2 linked regions of the Arabidopsis thaliana genome follow. The protein of the gene in region 2 interacts with the protein of the main gene of each other region in a biochemical or structural test. Each region holds a gene or a part of one and is shown on either strand. Other genes may lie near its edges.

What was found.
Region 1: the proteins of PIP5K1 (region 2) and PI-4KBETA1 form a complex in vitro, tested with the Arabidopsis thaliana proteins (one study listed by BioGRID).

The regions. Positions count from the first base shown.
Region 1 is NC_003076.8:25,641,464-25,646,393, forward strand, and holds the start of PI-4KBETA1 (phosphatidylinositol 4-OH kinase beta1), read right to left. Parts: upstream 3,016-4,930; 5' UTR 2,440-3,015; coding exon 883-2,439; intron 588-882; coding exon 396-587; intron 301-395; coding exon 252-300; intron 1-251. Other genes in the region: XYP1 (Bifunctional inhibitor/lipid-transfer protein/seed storage 2S albumin superfamily protein), read right to left, coding at 4,012-4,166, 4,538-4,564, 4,809-4,930. UniProt on the Arabidopsis thaliana protein: Acts on phosphatidylinositol (PtdIns) in the first committed step in the production of the second messenger inositol-1,4,5-trisphosphate. Necessary for proper organization of the trans-Golgi network (TGN) and post-Golgi secretion in root hairs.
Region 2 is NC_003070.9:7,732,644-7,739,292, reverse strand, and holds PIP5K1 (phosphatidylinositol-4-phosphate 5-kinase 1), read right to left. Parts: upstream 4,633-6,649; 5' UTR 4,241-4,632; coding exon 3,144-4,240; intron 3,050-3,143; coding exon 2,885-3,049; intron 2,717-2,884; coding exon 2,551-2,716; intron 2,337-2,550; coding exon 2,226-2,336; intron 2,146-2,225; coding exon 1,952-2,145; intron 1,863-1,951; coding exon 1,732-1,862; intron 1,647-1,731; coding exon 1,553-1,646; intron 1,285-1,552; coding exon 984-1,284; 3' UTR 521-983; downstream 1-520. UniProt on the Arabidopsis thaliana protein: Catalyzes the synthesis of phosphatidylinositol 4,5-bisphosphate and phosphatidylinositol 3,4-bisphosphate.

The sequences.
Region 1 (4,930 bases), on a different chromosome or scaffold from region 2:
GCAAGGATGGAAAAACATAGATTCTTCAAACAAGAGTGGAAATAAATATGATATAACGGACATAATACTAATTTAAGACAAGCAACACGATGAGCACTCAGAAACTTTAACAGGGCATGAAACGTTCACATACTATTTCAGAGAAAAGCATACATGGCCTATAGAATATATACCGGCTCAATATATTTGAGCTACACATATAAAGTAGACCTCCAAATAATAACTCTTAAAATATAATTTTAGAAAAATACCTCCAGTGATTTCAGCTTCCGATAAATGAAAATTGATCTCTGCAAGAGACTAAAACCAAACAAAAGAAATATAAAATTTAGTCAGTTGCTACAAAGGTAGAATTTGACATAAATTTAATTATCAATAAGAAAAGTCAGTTTCACCTCCCGAAGACCAATCTTCCGATCTTCGATGGGAAAGATATCTACCAAACCATATGACGTTTCACATAACGCTTGTACAAACTCCAACGACTCGTGGTAAGCCCCTTTCCTGAATTGTGATGCAGTATTGTTTGGTAGCGGGGGCTTACCAGATGGAGTATCATCCCGCTGTTTAGGTGAGCCTGGCCGTTTCTGCAATGGTTATAATAAGAAACATTGGTATGAGATAATCAAGCTCATATGAAAGAAAAAAAGTCTGGCATAGATAAATAATCAATTGAAGTCGAACAACCACCCTGTTTCAGCCAACATTTGTGTCAAGTAAAATTCAAAAGAAGGAAAGACATATGATTGTATCCTACAAGAATCTTGATAAATGACTCTGAAGATGTGGATCAAATGAAAACTGAATGTCAAAACAGTGCAAATGCAACCAGTATATGCAATAAGACAGAAACACAAAAGACCAAGTCAAACGAGAACAAACCTCCTTGTGTTTCTTTGATCCAAACAGTTCAGAATCTTCAACAGATTGGTCACGATCTCTGAACAACTTGCGGAAAAAGTTTTCTGTCCCAGGACTGCTTTCAACTAAGCCATTGCTGCTATTTTCATTTTCTGAAGTAGGTTTTGCATCTTCGGGATGTATACGGAATAATCTTTTGAAAAGAGAAAATTCTGGAGATTCATCACCCTCACTTTCATTCCCGTCATCAACCTTGACAATGTCTTTCTTGTCATCAGATTTTTCCTTAAAGAATTTTTTGAAAAACCCCTCCCTCTCATCCTCTTCACCAGATTTCTTATCGGCATACACTGTTCCATTGGCTTCATTCTTTTCACTACCATGTCTTTTGTCATCATTTTTTTCCCTGAAAAGTTTCTTAAGGAACCCATCTTTGTCCTCATCATCCACTTCTTTAGGAACTTTATCATCTTCAGGTTTGCTGTCACGGAATAATTTCTTAAAAAAACCTTCTGAGTTTGGGTTTGACTCCTCGTCCTCGTTTTTACTCTCCCGTAACAATCTCTTGAAGAAACTGTCTGAATTTGCACCCAATTCCTCTTCATCTCCCTTATTATCTCGTAACAACCTTTTAAACAGCCCATCTGAACTCGATGTCAATTCCTCGCTTTCTCCTTTACTACTCAAGAGCCTCTTGAAGAACCCCTCGGAACTGTTTGTTATGTCCTCATCTTCTGATTTATTGTCTTTCAAAAGGCGCTTAAAGAAACCCTCTGAGTTAGGTATTGGTTCATCACCCTCACCTTTGCTGTCCCTCAAGAGCCTCTTGAAGAATCCTTCCTTTTCACTCTCTTCATCATCTTTGTCAGCTGACTTTCTAAACATTAAAGCATCTCTGACTTTAGGACTTGGGATAAGTTTCTTAAAAATCTTATTGTCCTCAGCAGGTAACTGACTACCATCATCCTGCACGTTGGTCCCTGGCGAAGGTGAGAATGACAAAGACTTCTGGGTGGGAGGAGATAGCTTTAAGGAGAAGAGCTTCTGTTTTGATGACAAAAGTCTATTTAGGACCTGATTCTTGCTCCCTGGGGTTGAGACCTCGTTCTGTGGACGCATGAGAGGAGACCACTCACCCATCAAAGTAGCTGCAATTTGACACTTCTCTTGAATCCTGCTGATGCCTTCATTATCGTCAGCATCCTCCAGCTCAGCCAACAAAAACCAATGCACTTTCAGTGCGATTTTCAGTGACTTTCCACAGATGTCTATAACAAACTTATCAAGCGATGGGCTTGGTTTGTGCACCATCATGTAGCAAATCTGGAAGAGATAACTCTCAATACCTGATAAGGGAAGCGTATACATCCTATTGCATAAGTAATCCCTAACACCAGCATGAGGGTGCTTGTACAGATAACTAACAGCAATCCACTCACAGAAGAAAGCAGAATCGAAAAACCTAATAAGCCAACCATTAGAACCAGTATCGCCGATGATATTACTCTGTGAGGTAATCTCACGAGGTGACTCAGCCGAGTCTCCTCGGACCAAAGATAGAAAGCGTCCCATCGGCATCCTAATCAGCCAAGCATAAAAAGCCCTAGCTCACAGACCCAAATCATCCGTCGAGACAACAGATCCAGGAGACTCTTCCAACAAACCAGATTAACGGAGCCTCTCTCTTCCCCAATAACTAAACCCTAGGATTACCCGTAAAACCTTAACTCAAAAAACCTATCTATAACCACCCAAAGCTCAAAATCTCAATGCCAAATCGACGAAATTTGGCTTTATAATGCTTAACTTTCCTAAATCGCGAAAAAAACACAGAAAATAGAGATTTCTCCGTATCCTACTCACTCCAATCGCCGTAAACCGAAGGCGATCGGAAATTTCTCCAGAATCCAAAACTAAATCTCACGTAGAGAACCAAGCGATGAGCTAATTAATCCCGTTCTTCCTGCTATCCGAGAAATTCTGCTTGTTAAAATTCAGAGCAGAATCAAGTAACAGAATTAGCCGGAGTAGATCGCCGTCGTCTCAGCCGGAAGCAGTTTGTGGTGGAAGATACGGTCGTCGTCCTCGGCTGTTGGTGGCAGACAGAGAGAGAGAGAGAGAGGGGAAAGTAATTATCGTTCGCAATACTTTTAAATTATTTTCATTTTTTTATTAATTTTAATTTTTTGGTTTTTAGTAATTCGTACTATTTAATTATTATTTTGGTTTGGCGAGGGAGGAGATCTAACGTGCGCTGGAAAGTCCACGCGATCATAATAAAGTTGAAAATCCTTGGTGGGAAGTAAACGTGATTTGTCCACAACGGGACACTTGGACAGTTGATTAACTTTTGTTGACAGTTGATTTTTCATTATTTTCTTTCAAAAGATTATTACTATTGAGATTTTGAATTTTGAATCTGATAAGCTAATTACAAGAAGTAATAATCTGATTTTTAAAAAATACGATATATATTTATATCTTTCACGATGCCACGAAACATTTTGTTTCCTTTCACTTTCACGTCTCTAATTTTCTTAACACATGCATTTCCTTTTCAGATGAAGAAATTTTGTACTCGTTTCATAGAACAAGTTGTAATTGGTACTATAGTCAAACTACACTGTAACAAAATATAAATATGATACTCTTGACAAAAAGTTGGGACTTACTTACTGACAATGACGATATTATGAGAAAATTTCATCTACTAAAATGATATCATATGATTTCCTGTATTTTATTACACAGTTTTTATGAGAAAATTAAAACGAAATTAAAGAATTTTGTTGTTAGTCATTGCAATATTACACCATAATTTTCTTAAAAAGAATATATAAATGTTACTTGTAGTATTTCTTTTTTGTATAGTGGACTTTGAGAATGTTTCTGCCTGAGCTTTTGGCGAATATAACTATGAGGGTGTGAGAGAAAACATAGATGAAGGAATAAGCGATAGATCGAATAAAAGGACCAATGTTGTGAGACAAAGTAATAACATAAACTAAAAGAGTAAACGCTAGTAATAGAGAAACCGATATGGTCTAAAAACAGAACACTCCAAAACATACATAGATTAACCCTAATAAAAACCATTAATCAATTTCATACAGCCAAATCTAGCTGGTGAAAAAAGATTCAGGTTTTTTTTTACGCACTAGAGAAGAACAAAACGAACAGTACGGCACTGAGTACAGTTGTGAACGAGGTCGGAATCAAAGAAGATCCATCGTTCCCTGAAGAAGGATTTGGAGCTAGAAATCCGGCTGTCTCAGGTCCAGCAGCAGCTACTCCTGGAGCAAGACCTGATAAAATTAGGTTCCACATTAAGAAATCTCAAAAGCGTAAAACATCTCAACGAGAAATCACATAACTAACATGGAGAAAAAGAGCAGAGATTTCCAATCACTCGAGCAAATTTTTACAAAGAAAATCACAAATAAGGAATTCACACAAATTTTTGTCATGGTTCGTATTAATTATAATTTTTTGTATTGTAGAATCTTAGATAAATCATTTTCACTTTAAGTGAGAACCCAGATGATCAAAGTCAAACAATCGACAATTTTTATCTTTTCAAAATTTTCAAGTGGGAATTTAAAAACACAATAAAGCATTGCATGAGACAAAACTTAAGAGTAAAATTAAAAATCAACCAAGAAGAAAGACAAAATACCTGGAGCAGTACTTGGAGCAACAGACACTGTAAGAACAAAAATAAAATAAAAAAGCATTATAAGTAATTTAATCAACATCAACAACAACAAAAAATAGAATCTTAAAACAGTTTCGAAAAATCTACAAATTATTTTCTTAATTAAACTGAAAAAATTAGAAAAAATGTGGATTTAAGAAACCGCTCTCGAAGATTAAGCATAACAAATTAAGATCTACAAAACCGGAAGAGATCTAAGAAACAAACAAGTTAAGAAATGAATAGATCTTACATCCACAAGTAGCGATAGAAGGAGCGTGAAGCTTGCATGCGGCGGGAAGAGTAGAAGCCTTAGTGATATTCAAAGTAACTCCAAGAGAAGCACTGCTCTTAAACGCTTCACATAGACACTGA
Region 2 (6,649 bases):
GCAATTATATGGACTGTAGAAAGTATTAAACTTAATGAAAAACAATAATTGTCTACTCACTACTGTTTACTTTGGAAAGAAAAAATATACAAATTCTTTTAATGTAAACAAAATATAAAACCATGTCAAGTCTGAAAAAACCAGTTTTAGTTTTTTTGAGAATTAACGATGATGCAATGGATTGTTGATCAGAATCCAAGCGTAATTAAATGAATTCATAGATAAACAAACCGTTTCAGGCTTCTTAGACTTTTAGTTTTTATTAAAAGATCTAAGACTTTAATTTGAATAACAGTCTTATACTTTGTGAAGCTATCACATATGAAAAAAACTAGACTTAAGAGATTTAGACAAAAAGAATGCAAAGAAAAGACATGTGGTGTGCTAGTTTAGCTTTATCTACTTTTCATGAAACCAACCCCAATTCAACTCTTCCTTCTTTGACCATATACTATTTTACTAATCAACTATTTTAGCATTTACTGTTTACCATTGACATTGCTTTAGGTTCATAGATTATGCAAGTGGTAAAGTTGTATTGAAAGAAAATAAACAACAACAAAATAATGGACCCCTTAACTTTGGATGGTTAAGGAGGGATCCTATGAGAATATGGGATTAAGAGAACTAATTAATGGTATTACTATCTTTCATTTTTTTACTTGTACACTTTACTTTATTCCACATTTTCGGAATTTACCAAACCCTTTTTTCCTTGTAATTTCTTGTCTGCCTATGTACTAAAACCTTCAATCTATATTCACATATATAAATATTATATATATAAACGGCTCACCACAAAAATAAATAAAGCCCCTCCCCAACCCAAAAACTTGATTGGTCATCTCAAAATATATAAACATAAAATTCCGAAATCGCTTTTCTTCTATCCTTGAGATTTACCTTTTTACTCTTCCCGCGCAGCTTTCTTCACATTTCCGTAGAGCCGAGAATGTTAGTTAAAAACTTTAGCCTTCTTGTCTTTAGCCCTCTTCAATGAAGATCCTACTGATGAAGTCTCTGAACCTCTTTGAATAGAGTTTAGGATCAACAGCTGAGATCGAAGCAGGATCGGCTTGCAGTGACTTATACGCATGCTCGATCTTTTTGGTTATGTCGTAGTCTTGCAAGATGTCAATGACTCCAAAGTAGAGAACAACTTCGTACATCTCACCGTGTGATGGATAACTGGCTCCTCCTGATGAATACTGATCAAAATCGCTTCTCCGGGCCATTCGTTCAGCTTTTGCTGGCATGTTTGCGCCTAATCTGATCGATGGTTTCCTGTTAACACAAGATTGAATATTAAGCAAAAATTGATGGATCATGAATTGATTGATTCTTTTCTAGCAAACAGGACCACATGACTTGTTTAAACACTCCCCACACAAGATTGCCAAGCACATTTAATCATTCCTACATATATTATATACTTAATCCGAAATTGAATCTCTCAACCACTTCATGTCTCAATGGCTATGAATGCAAAAAGCTTCCTCTGTGAAGTCAACTTCTTAACATTAAAAATGAAACCCGGATCAATGATTGTTACCTGCCAGCTAAAATCCGGTCCATGTCTTGAAGTTCTGCCTCTAGGAAGCGACAACCGCGCATGAATTTTTCATTCTGATATGAATCTATCCTACCTGCATAAGATTGACATAAATCTCACGATAGGTCGACTTCAGCGGGGGGACACATATAGAGAATGATCAATGATGTATAATTTACCAGATCTCAAAACGAATGGAGAAAGCCCCATCTTTTCTCCTGTGTTGTCATCACGGAAGTGAACACCAACTAAAAGGCTATAATCCATTATTCTCTCTGCTTCCAAGAACTCACAATCGCGTTTTATTTGCCTGATCATGAATACCGATCAGCATTAGCATATGTTTAGGTAGCTGAATACTTTGCATACGCAAAAAATAGTGAGAAGCATGGAGCTTACTTCATAAGCTCTTGATACCAGTTTCTCTGAAGACGGAAAGAAAAATTGAGATCAAGGTCCTTGAGAGTCGTGGTCTCATCAATTTCTCCTTCAGGCTTTGCAGTGCTACGCCCATGAGAAGACCCTTTGAGGTCAAACCGTCTCTGGATTCTATACTCGGAGCAGAATAAGTTTCCCATAACGATAAACCGAGTCTGATCAAAAATGGTAAACAAAACAGTAAATTTTCTTGACACTAAGAGACCCATGAAGCTTTAGATGAACAAACACATACCTTTTGGCCACCAACAGGTTTGACACAATGAACACCGTAGAATCTAGTCACAAGGGAGTTTTCGTATTGGCAGACATGTTTGTAGTAACTTGGAAGCATTCTTAGAAGAACCTGGATAGAAGAAGACAAACACTTCAGGTCAAATTTCTTTAGCTAATCACAGACTTAGTGGAGTTTATGATTGAGAAAGTAATGTGAAAGCAAAGAAACAAACAAACAAAAAGGGTGTCCCATCCGCTAATCAAGTAAATTAACTTGAACAGACAAGCATTTTCAAATATGACAAGAGAAAGGTCAAAAACAAGAAGAGCCAACAACTACTAACCTTGACTTCTGATTTCTTCACCGTTTTGATCATAAATCTATCATCTTGAGTTAGGTAAAAAAAGCTTCCACTCTTTCCAGGTGAAGATAGTTCGCGGAGAGCATCATTTCCACATATAGCTAGCATATACTTAGCTGGATCCACTTGGAAAAGCTCCCTGAGACGTCTACAAACAAAATTTGCCCAAAAAGAAACACAATTCATCACAAATACGTCCACAATCTTATCAACTAAGCCCAAATTTGGGTATAGCCACATCATCAAACTTAAAACGCATTCAGCAATTTGCTAAATTGAAACACTTTTCATAAAAATAAAAAAGCTAAAAAGTTACCTGAACACTAAAGGGCAATAATCCTTCCACCTGAAATCCACTGACTGATGCGGCGGTGTTGTCTTAGTCCCTTCTGGTGGAAACCTTGTCCAAAATTTCTCCTTTGGATCGAAATCAGTCTGTTTAAGATCACGAACAATCGAAGCATGTTTGCCAACAGAATACCTAATTCAATCACACACAACCTTCATTAGAAACAACAGAGAAAGCCATCACACACCAAACAAAAACACCAATCCACCAAATTTGAGATATTTACCTGATTCCTAATTGCAAATTCAGCATCAAATCATATTTCTTATGCCCTTTAGAAATAGTCTGTCCAGGTTTCTTAGCCTCACCATTAAACCAACAAGGATTCTTCTTAAACTGCCTAAACCCATCACGATCAACAGAGATCCTATCTCTATAAATCATGGAAGCTTCAACATTATCAATAATATCACAAGTGATATCTCCAGCTTCACCATCAGATTCCCAAATACAGATTCTTGGAAAAACTTTCTCACCTCCCAAACTCCCAGCTCCACTATCAACAGAAGATCTCTTCCTATTCCCCACAATCAAATCATTCTTCTCAACACCATTAAAGAAACTCCTCATAATATTACTCTCATTCCAAGCACCAACACAAGAACTCCCATCACTCCAAGTAAACACACCATTCCCTTTAGGAATCCCATTCTCCCACAAACCTTCATATCGATTCCCATTAGGCCAAACAAGCAAACCTTTCCCAGAAATCACACCACTACGCCACTCTCCAGTATACTGATTCCCATTTCTCCACACATACCTACCTCTACCATCTTGTAGATTCCTTCTCCAAGTACCTTCATAAAAATCTCCATTTGCATAACGCTTTTGTCCATGTCCGTGTTTTCTATCAGCAACCCAAGTTCCTCTATAAGTATCTCCATCAGCTCCAGTGAAAGTACCAAAACCTTCCATTCTCCCAGATTTGAATTCACCTTCGTAAGTAGCTCCACTTGGCCATGAGAATTTGCCTTTCCCTGAAGCTTTCCCTCGTTTCCAATCTCCTTCGTACATGCACCCATCTTTCCATAGATACTTCCCGGATCCATGTGGAAACCCACCGGAGAAACTTCCGATGTAAAGATCTCCGTTTGGTAGCGGCTTCTCAACATCTACTAAAGGCGTGGGAGTCACGCGCCGAGTCGTTCCTTGAGATCTCGATCTCACCATTGGAGTAGATTGAGCTAACAACACCAAACCGTCTCGTCTCTCTACTTCTTCACCGAAACGCAGATTCTTCTTCTTCTTCTTCTGAACGACGCTGCTTAAAATGACTTCACTAGCTTCTTCTTCTTCTTCGTCTTCTTCTGAATCACTCATCAGAGAATCTTCACTCCAGTCCTCGATTCACAATGTTCCTCAATCTCAGAAAATGTCATTCGTTTGAAATCTAGAGTTTTAACAGATTTCTTAACAAAAAAAACTCAGTGGAGAAACGAAAAACACATTTCTCCGGCGATTCACCACCGGATTTTTCAAATGGGTTTGAATAAAGCTAGAAACTTTATCAAGAATTTGGTTACTCAGAAGATATCACACAAGTATTTCTAAATCTGAGAAGAAGAAACCTTGTGAGATTTCGTACAGACGCTACAAGAACATCAAAAGAAGAAAAGTGATGAACAGAGAGACACAAGAGAGACGATGATTAATTTTTAATTTATAAAATAAAAGTATTGGGAAGCGGACACAAAAAGCCCACCAGCCCGAAAAAGAAACCCACAATATTATTAAAAATTTGAAAACGACACCGTAGTGTAAACATAAAATTAATAATACATACGTACTCGAGATTGTTTCGAATTTGTCTTTGTATAATTTAAAGCGATATGATATAGTATGGGCTACTTCATACGTTAATAGTAGAAGACCAAATGATTAGTTTATGGTCTACCTTTGTTTACTTATTTTATTGATAGTAGAGAAATGATTATGATTGAGAGGATTATCGAGAAATCTTGATTAGGAAGCGAGTTTCCAGGTGATTGTCTTTGATGACTTACTTAATTAATTACTTTTATGATTCTAAGAATTTTGTTCTCTTCTGTGATTAGATGATCGTTGTCTTGGTGGGTTTTTTTTATATCTTTTCGAGTATTGATTCTCTTCCTACTTGCGATGATTTATTAATTTAAAGGATACTTATATTCCCATACGGATAGTGATAGATACAGAAGATGGTTGATGCAAGTAGTATATGAAATTCTAAAGTTGCGTTATTTTTTTAACGTTTTTATGTTGATATTGATAGTGCCAAAGGTTTACATTTTAAAGTTGAGTTTTTGTCCGCCATTTGTAAATTAGGTCTAATATTTTATTTGATAAATAATCGAGATTTTTTATAGTTTGGTTTCGCATAAATAGACATACATCATCCTATAGGCTATAGGTTCGTGTACTTTGATTTGAAGTGCTAGTAGTAGGACATGATTGTCATTCGAATAACCACAAACATCATAAAAACTATATTGCGAGTTGCGACCGTGCACGTAAACTTCATAATTCAAACGTGTAACATTTTAACAAAAAAAAATGCTACAAAAATACCTAATACACCACATATTAAGTATGTATATTTCTAAAATTGTATTATACGTACGAGTGGTCAGTGGTTAGTTACCACGGCTGTGGTGGTTAGAGTATCTAACACATTTGATCACCATTTAATTAAAATCTTTATAAAAATATATTACAACCGCATTAGGAAAAATTAAAAATATACTTCAAGGGAACGTGGGCGTACGTAATCTGAGTTTAAACTTTTTGTATAAAAGAAGCAATTGAATCACTCAAAATGTTCTTAAAACCTTAATTCAAGTTTGATACTCCTTGTTTTTATATCTTCATAAACTGACCATTTAACATTTGTTTTCTTGCGTTTGTTCTACGTGTTGGAGCTATTCGACACTTATTTATGTTATTTCGTCATTACTACACCGTTTATTTTATTTCGGTACTCGAAGCCGACGTTAATGCTGGGGGTGGATCCCCAGTTAAAACCTAAAAGTACTCAATAACTTTTGTCCACATTAATGAAAAAATCACACGATACGAATAAATATAAATATTAGGAGTATAAAATATGGTTGAATGAATGTATTTTTTCCCATTCATACACCATAACGCGTTGGTACTCTACGCCATACTGAGATACTTTCCCATTCCATATTCAAGGCATCTCATTACTCTTCGCTGTATACTTGAAATCTGAAAGCTCTAGTGTTTCTTTTTTGACGCTTTCAATTCTAAAAACCCACGAGGACACATCTTTTTCGATTCCTAGCCATCATTTATTTGTGTATATGATTTTTATATTGTCATAGAATACACATTTTGATTTGCAAAAAAAAAAAACATTCTTAGCGAAATACCGACTTAATTGTCCACAAATATGTAAGATAAGATCTAATTATATTGATGTATTCAATCACACGTATTGGCATACTTATAAACTGTGGTACTTCGAATCTGATGTAAAACATCTTTGTTTTTTTTTGGTCAACTACTAAGAGAATCTCTAAAATTAGTCTTACACAAAACTTTATTTTATTGAGTACTGATTTCGAAAGAAACAAGTGTCTTCGGTTACTTGTTTTTGACGAAAATAAAATATTGCCTTAGGCAAATTAAAAACATTAAACACGAATGTTACGTGTTTAATTGGCTAAGTTAACGCAAAAAAATACATATACATATATTTGATATATTCAGCATAATTTGTTTTATTTA